Canis lupus familiaris: one gene and its partner. The protein of the gene in region 1 binds, or shares a complex with, the protein of each later gene. Links are inferred from orthologs where the notes say so. Each region holds a gene or a part of one and is shown in the gene's direction. Other genes may lie near its edges.

Region 1 (4,338 bases):
CTCCAGGATCAGGCCCTGGGCCGAAGGCAGTCTCTAAACCGCTGAGCCACCCAGGGATCCCAAGATAGTGTACTCTTACGCCACTATGTGGCATACTTGGCCATTAGTAGGCAGTTTCTTTATCTTGATACTGGTACTAACTTCCTCTAGTAATGATCAGGAACCAGTGGTGAGGCCCATTTTCTTAAACCACATGTTTCATTTTAACCTAGGAAATTCTGCAGCTTCCACCCCTACAAGCCTAGACTTGCCTGAGGTGAAGGGCCAGGTGACCCCCAAACCTGAGGGCAGCAGCCAGCCTGCCAAGAAGGCCAGAGTGGCTATGAAAACAAAGCAGCAGTTGCAGAAACGGCAACATCCCAAAAAGGCCTCTTTCCAGAAGCAGAATGGCATCTCCAAAGGGACAGACTCAGGATTGTCCACTGTATCTTGTGACACAAAGTCCCAAGCTTCTTCCAAGCTCCAGGACAGCAGTCAGCCAACTCAAGAGATCAGGGGACCAAAGGTGACTAAGAAACTAAAGCAACAATCAGCTACGCTGCTATCCTCCAAGAAGGTTGCCTTCCGGAAGCCGAATGGCCCTCCTAAGGGCACGGACACAGAAGTGCCTGTGCTATCCCTTTCCAAGACCCAGGACACACTCAAGCCTGAGGACTGGGTTCAGCCCCTTAGAAGCACCAGAGGGACCAAGAAAGTAAAGCAGCAGTTGCCAGCACAGCCTTCCAAGAGAGCTGCCTTCCGGAAACAGAATGGCACCCCCAAGGGACCTGAGACTCCCGCCATGTCCCCCCTTGATTCCAGCCAGCCCCCACCAGCAAAGAGGAGAAAATCTCAGTCCAGAGGCAGCAGCCATCCAGTGTTGTCTTAGATGAATGGCTGGTACTAGACTGGGGTGGCTTACTGCTGTTGGCACAGGGTTGGAACTCTTAACCTCTGTGAGGCTGGTGTCCCCACTGCGTATGAAATCTAATACACATTTTATAATCTCTGGCCACTGTGTGTTTTTTGAGGGGACTGGGTACTGGCTTTGTTGCTTGAAGAGTAGTGGCGGGAGGGTGGGGCAGGGCCCCTCTGAAGAGAGAAAATAATGTAGTCTACTGAGAAATGAGTTTCAGGCTCTTGGGCTCCCTGTCTCCTCAGGGGCTCAGGGTCTGGAGTCAGTTTGGATTCTGGGGAGAGGAGGGCAATGGGGGTGTAGAGGGGATGGGCATCCTGCCAGAACCCATGGAGTAGCAAGGGACCTGGATTTTCTTCCTCTGTGCCACCCTGGCTTGAAGGCATGGACTGGGGTCCGCCAGCCTCAGACCCGGAAAGATCCCGGTGCCAGCCTCCAGCCCGGCCGTTCATTGGCTTCCTCTCTCCCCTGCCCCGCCCCCGTGACCTCTGCCCCTACCGCCGGGCCGTCTGATTGGTTGCCCCGCGTCCGCCTGGCGCCTCATTGGCTCTTCCCCCTCGCCCTCCATCCCTGCTCCTGTAGCGGTGTCCGTCTCCCAGCAGAAGACGCCACCATGAATCCGTTATTCGGCCCCAATCTCTTCCTCCTGCAGCAGGAGCAGCAGGGCCTGGCCGGGCCGCTGGGGGACCCTCTGGGAGGCGACCATTTCGCCGGGGGAGGGGACGTGTCCCCGTCGTCGCTCGCCCCGGCCGGCCCGGCTGCCTACTCGCCGCCCGGGCCGGGCCCGGCCCCCCCCGCCGCCATGGCTCTCCGCAACGACCTGGGCTCCAACATCAACGTGCTCAAGACCCTGAACCTCCGCTTCCGCTGCTTCCTGGCCAAGGTGCACGAGCTGGAGCGCCGCAACCGGCTGCTAGAGAAGCAGCTGCAGCAGGCGCTGGAGGAGGGTAAGCAGGGCCGGCGGGGCCTGGCTCGCCGCGACCAGGCCGTGCAGACCGGCTTCGTCAGCCCCATCCGGCCCCTTGGGCTGCCCCTGAGCGCCCGGCCGGCCGCCGTCTGCACCCCGTCGGCGCGGGTGCTTGGCTCGCCCGCGCGGTCGCCAGCCGGCCCCCTCGTGCCCTCCGCGGCCTGCCACTCGTCGCCCTCCACCTCCACCTCCACCTCCTACTCCTCGTCAGCCCGCTTCATGCCCGGCACCATCTGGTCCTTCTCTCACGCCCGCCGGCTCGGGCCGGGACTGGAGCCCACGCTGGTGCAGGGGCCTGGCCTGTCGTGGGTGCATCCCGACGGGGTGGGCGTCCAGATCGACACCATCACCCCCGAGATCCGCGCGCTCTACAACGTCCTGGCTAAAGTGAAGCGCGAGCGGGACGAGTACAAGCGGAGGTAGGGGACCGGGAAGGTGGGGACCGGGCTCAGCGTCATGCCACACATGGGGCCAGGACGAGGTGTGGGTGCTGGAGAGGACAGCAGTGCGGCCCAAGAATCAGGGAGGAATAGGAGAGTAAAGTTCCTGCTGTGTAAGGAGGAGCTTGGAGGTAGACAGACGGCACTGGGTACAGGAAGAGGGGAATCCACAGGGAATGCAGAAGTCGCACTCGTGACAGGAAGAAGGATTCTCTAAGCGGAGGATTGTGGGGAATACATATTTTTCTTGTGGCTTTTCTTTCTGTCTCATCTAGGCTGCAGTGTTTGGATGACTGCGTTAACTGTGGGGTCGTGTGCTGTGTGAAAGGGACACGCGTTTGAGTGGTCACATCTGGGGTACTAAGCCTCTCCAGGCGCAGCCCTCAGAGCAGTTTTGTGATAGAGGCTCCACATACTGATCAAAAGTAAGAGACAAAGCATAGAGCTTTCATTTGGGAGTCTAAATGAAAATAGAAGGGAGTGGTAAGGGAGGGGCTGCATCTCGGAGTGGGCGACCCTGCCACTGCTCTGGGTTTCCCAAAGCAATGTCGATGGAAACTGGGAACTTACCCCAGTTCCATATAAAAGGCTCTGGGACCCCAGAACGTTGCTCAGAGTAAGTAAAAAATAAAATAATAAAAAAGAAAAGAAAAGAAAATAATAAAAGAAAACAGAAAACAAGGGGGAAAAGGAATTTGCTAGGGAAGGGGGAAAGGACTGGTAGTTGTCACAGGACTTGTGGAAGCTGGGGGAATCTGTGAAAGTGCAGAGAGCCAAAGGATGACGAAATGTGAATGAAGCCAGCAGAGGAACCGAGTGGGGAAAAGTTGAGAATATGGACACACCCTGTGAGTATAAGGCAGCTGGGGGCCAGGCCCTGTGCTGTCTGAGGAAGACGATTTGGGTTTTCTGCAGGGGACTGGCAGGGTAGCACAACGGGCCAGGGGAAGGGATGTGATGCTAGTGCTGGCTGTATATCAAGTGGATCCCTTAGAGGGTTGATAACCAGGCCATGAGGAAGGAGCATGAACACAGCCAGCCCTCTGTAGACTTCGTGAGGGATGCCATGGTTGAGAAGGAAGATGACATGTCAGCAGGAGGCTTTATTTTGGGAGCCATCATGGTTAACCTCTTAATTGACTACTCTGACCCCTTGTGGGCAAGCCTGGGAACTACCCTTGCAGCCCAGTGTAGCTGAGATTGGTGTCCTCTGGGGCTTGGCTAAATGCTCCCAGAGATTACCCCAGGGTCTGGGGGCAGCCTTCAGGGATCTGTAACCTGCCAGAGTCTAGCAGATTGCAGACCAGCAGGCTTTCTGAGGTTGAGTCCTGTCCTCATGCTGGCTTCCTTCATCGTAGCCCGTGTTATAAGTGCCTTTGGGAGTCTCAGTTCTCCTAAACCATTCTCTCCATTATTCAGATGCCACCCAGAACCAGCCTGCCCCAGCCCCTGGCCCAGCCCCAGCACCTGCCCCTGCCCCTGCCCTTGCAGGAATTAATTAACATTGCCAGCAGCAGAACACGGACAGTTCTGGAATGCACCCATAACCACAGAAACAACTGCTGTTCTCGGGTATTTGTTTTTTCTTAACTGAAAGAGTGTTTGTCCTTGGTCCAGCTGTCCAGGGCAGCAGAGAGTTATTCCTTGGGGATTGATGAGCTCATCGCTCTGCAGCACGCTGCTGTGCAGAGGGCCCTGCAGCTAGAGTTGTCTGGTACGTGACACTGGCAGTTACTCGTTCCTCCACCCCAGATCCTGTGCCCTCGTTCTGTTCTCTTTAAAACAACACTGAAGCTCCTATCTGTGGCCTGGAAGGCATGGGTAGAGCTTTAGCAGTAAACTGTGAAGAATCTGAGGCCTCCCAGGTTCTATTTTCAGCTACCCCCTGCTGTGTGCAACCTTGGGTGGATCTCTCCTGGCCTCAGTTTTCCAGCATAGGAATGGCCCCTGCTTCCTCACTTTGCTCAAGGATACCGTTTATTTGGGAGGGAAGTCTTTAGTAAACATAGAATTCATGGAAATGGCTCAAATTCTAC
Region 2 (3,850 bases), on another chromosome or scaffold:
GGCATTAAAAATGAGATGGGAAGGATGCTATGTACTTCTTAGTTACTAAATGTTTAAGAGAAGAATAGTGTTCTCCAAATTGTTGATAAGTTCATAATTGAGAATAAATTTTGTACTCTTCACAATAATACTCTGTGCCAGCCAACCCCCGCTCCCTAGCTTTGTCTATAAAGTGTTATCCAGTTTGATAATTGGAAGTTTGGTTGAAAGAAAATCTTAAAGGTTTGCTAAAACCAAGCACGGTTAAGTCATAGGTTGACAGTTATTCTGTTGTTTGTTCTTCTATCACAGACATGTTACCTTCGACAGTGTAGCTGTGATTAACTGTATTCTTTTTTTTTTTTGATTAACTATATTCTTTAGACAAATTATATAATATTGTATTTTGATATTTTCATTTTTGTCCATGTGTTGTATCAAATGTTAATTTTAATAAAGGTTTTGAAATGTGCTTGTTAGTTAAGTGCACATAATCTTTCAATTAATAATTATTGAAGTTATTTAATGGAAATTAAAATACATTTAAATCAGGTAAGTAACTAATTGGTTACTGTTCCTAAAATTTTATATAATATCCAAAATTTTTGTTGTACATTTTTATAATTGGTTTTTTACTTTGCCTTTGAATAAAGCATCTTATAGTATACTCATGTATATTCTATTCAGCTTTTAAAATTTTTGTTACTATGTTACATTAGAAAATAGTACAAGAAGATGAGATACAATGTTTATATAACATTTCACATCTGATATAAAAATGCAGTGAGTGATATGTCCCTGCCTAAAATAAGCCATTGATATTGGCAGCCCCTCTTCAACTTTGGCTCTGCTTTATTTCCTCATACTTTTTGGTGTACTTCTTTCTCAAAGACATTTTCTTGATGAAAGGAGTACTGTTATATTAATATTTACCACAGTTTTTTTTTTTCAGAAGCTGAAGGAGATGAAAAATTTTGCTCTTACAATGGTAAATAGCTGTCAAAGGAATGAAAAATATATTCAGAATCACTGATTCTCCATTACCTTATAAGATGTCCATATTAACACAATTAATTTTTCTAATAGCTACTCCACACCTGTCAAATGCCAAACGCTGTCTTAGGCAGTAAAGATAAAGCAGTCAATAAAACACATCTGCTCTCCGCATTTATAGAGTTCACAGCCTGGCAGTGATTCTACTATAAGGGTATTGTAATTGCTCCCAGAAAATATACTGTTTTTTGTTCCTTTTCATTCCATAAGAGGCCCTAATTCTTTGTATCTCTAGATAGAAAGGTTGTTGAAAGCACAGGGACATATATATCAAAGGTATCAAATTTTGACATTTTTGTTTATAATTTTTCAGTGAAAAATTATATATTTAAACATATCTACATAAATACATATATAATGAAAATACTAGAATACCTGTGTAGAACAACAGAAGTATAAAAAGACTACGTTTAAAAGAATACATGAAATAATTTATCTTTGAATTGTTAAAATACAGATTTATTTATGGTTTGTGTGTGTGTGTGTGTGTGTGTGTATATATATATGTATATATATATATATGTATATATATATATATATATATCTTTTTGGGCATTATTTTCCAATATTGATCCTTACCTCACTACGTAAATTACTAACATTGATAAACAATAAATTCTAATTGTTTAATTATCTGTGTAAAACTTTAAATCAATGGAAACCTGTAAAAGTGACTTTTAATTATATTTTCCTTGAAAAGTTTTCTTGAAATAATTTTCAGTATTGGATTGAATAATATTAATACTAAGAAAAACTGGATGATTCATTTATTTGTTTATTTACATTTTAGATTTGAAAAATGTGTGAGTGCTAAGGAAGCTATGGAGACTGATCTTTATCAACGCTTTATTCTGGTGCTGAATGAGAAGAAAGCGAAGATTAGAAGCTTGCATAAATTGTTAAATGAAGTTCAAGAACTAGAAAAGAACATTGAGCATGAAAGGTATTTTGAGTTGTCTGTTTTGAGATGGCAGATACATAAGTTTAAAGGGAATTTTCCCCCAAACTTAATGAAAGTTAGATGCCAGCTTTTTAGTAACATGAGATCATTTGCCAGTCTGAAGTTGAATGCTCTGGCTGTTGGATGCCCTGGGCTGGAGAATTCTCAGCATGATCTCTCTATGTCTAGCTACTGTCATAACTACACTTGAATCCTAAAACTGGAGTATGGTTTATCTAAAGTATTATTTATGTAATTCTTAGACATCATTAAAAGTAACAAAAACTGGGCAGCCTGGATGGCTCAGTGGTTTTGCGCCACTTTCAGCCCAGGTTGTGATCCTGAAGACCCGGGATCGAGTTCCACGTCAGGCTTCCTGCATGGAGCCTGCTTCTCCCTCTGCCTGTGTCTCTGCCTCTCTCTCTCTCTGTGTGTGTCTCTCATGAATAAATAAATAAAAATTAAAAAAAAAAACTTTTATCTTCTGCTAAGCTGCAGGATTGGCACATTTGTAATCTTGGTGTCTGAGTAGTGGTTAATTTTAGAATCAAGTGGCTCTGGGAGTGGATATGTAATTGATTTTTAAGGAAAAATCACAGGTTACTTACACCTTGTATGGTTTGGACAATTATAATTGTTAGAGTCTGATTTTTATTTTATTATTTTATTTATTATTTATCCACTTAATTATTATAGTGGATACAAGTTTGGATCTTGTGTCCTGAGTCTGAGAGAACACACAGGCTTATGAAAGGCATCATCTGAAGAATATAATATTTGATGTCAGATAGTCCTAGTTCAAGTGCTGTCTGGCACTTGATATCTGTTAGTATATGACTTTGGGCAGATAAGTCTATGTTAGTATATGTCTTTTGGGCAAGTAAGAGTTCTTTAAACTCTCTGTGCCTTACTTGGTATCTTCATAATAAGATGAAAGTTACCTCTCTGAGAATTTGGGGCCAATCAAAAGCAGGGCAAAACTATTGTAGATCAGTAAAATACTGAACACATTGTGATCCATAGAAAATAATTTGGAAGCATAGTATTTTTATAGATGAATAATATGATAAGAAACTGATTTAACAGTTAATTACAGTGAGCACTAAACCACATTTAAATTAGGTAGAAGAGAAACTTATTCTTAAGAGAGTTAACATACAGTCTTTAAAGTGCTTTCATCTTAATTATATATATTTCAATATATGTTTGTTTAACTACAGTATTTTTCCAGGGATATTTTTTATTATTACTTACTGGTAAATTTGATCCCTAGCCCAGGGTGAACCAATAATTCATAATTCAACCTTTTCTGTTTCTAGGGAAACCACAGCGTGTTCTGAAATGACAGCTGACAGAGATGCAATCTATGATGAAAGCACTGATGAGGAAAAAGAAAAACTGCCTAATCCCTCTGTGTCGGCTCCAGGTAATAGAAATACATTCATCACCTTTGTTGAATATCTCACTTGGGCTTATTATTGTAAAGATAATAAACCGTAATGAAAAATGTTATGAAAAAAGTCTTCTACAAAATTCTTTAGGGTTTTTAGTCTAAAACCTAGAGTATTTAATGTTAAAATTAATATTTATTATAAAATGCAGCAACTCATAAAACAAGCAAGTATGCGTACAAACATACACACCCAGGAGTACTATTCCTTATTAAAGAAGGGTGCATAATGAATAGGGAAGATATGTGTTCGTGATAGTTATCTTCAGCTAAAAGCTGGCTGCCTTTAACATGTAGATCTTACCTAGCTAGAGCTCTATGGGTGGGTAAGGTGATCCAGAATGCTTCAGATTGTCTTGAGGTTGAGCCTTCTTTCATTATTCAGAAAAGGAGTTTCAATAAGGGGAGATGGGCTAGAGGGGAAGAGA

The links. The genes of interacting proteins can lie anywhere in the genome.
Region 2: the proteins of IFFO1 (region 1) and XRCC4 are in contact, whole or in part, in a crystal structure (PDB 6ABO), measured with the Homo sapiens proteins. The link is inferred for Canis lupus familiaris from reciprocal best matches to the Homo sapiens genes IFFO1 and XRCC4. Residues at the interface, in NP_001317253.1 of Homo sapiens: Arg469, Glu470, Tyr473, Ile477, Gln479, Ile480, Glu481, Glu483, Leu484, Ala487, Lys488, Asp490, Met491, Arg493, His494, Leu495, Tyr498, Met501, Lys505, Leu508, Asp509, Met512, Cys515, Arg516, Leu518, Ile519, Thr520, Gln521; in NP_001304941.1 of Homo sapiens: Trp155, Val158, Gln159, Phe162, Glu163, Cys165, Val166, Lys169, Glu170, Glu173, Leu176, Tyr177, Phe180, Val183, Leu184, Lys187, Lys188, Lys190, Ile191, Leu194, His195, Lys197, Leu198, Ala201, Ala202, Arg205, Glu212.

The regions. Positions count from the first base shown.
Region 1 is NC_049248.1:7,638,060-7,642,397, reverse strand, and holds the start of IFFO1 (intermediate filament family orphan 1), read left to right. Parts: upstream 1-1,458; 5' UTR 1,459-1,508; coding exon 1,509-2,281; intron 2,282-4,338. Other genes in the region: NOP2 (probable 28S rRNA (cytosine(4447)-C(5))-methyltransferase), read left to right, coding at 213-868. UniProt on the Homo sapiens protein: Nuclear matrix protein involved in the immobilization of broken DNA ends and the suppression of chromosome translocation during DNA double-strand breaks (DSBs).
Region 2 is NC_049224.1:24,558,847-24,562,696, reverse strand, and holds part of XRCC4 (DNA repair protein XRCC4), read left to right. Parts: intron 1-1,822; coding exon 1,823-1,975; intron 1,976-3,291; coding exon 3,292-3,398; intron 3,399-3,850.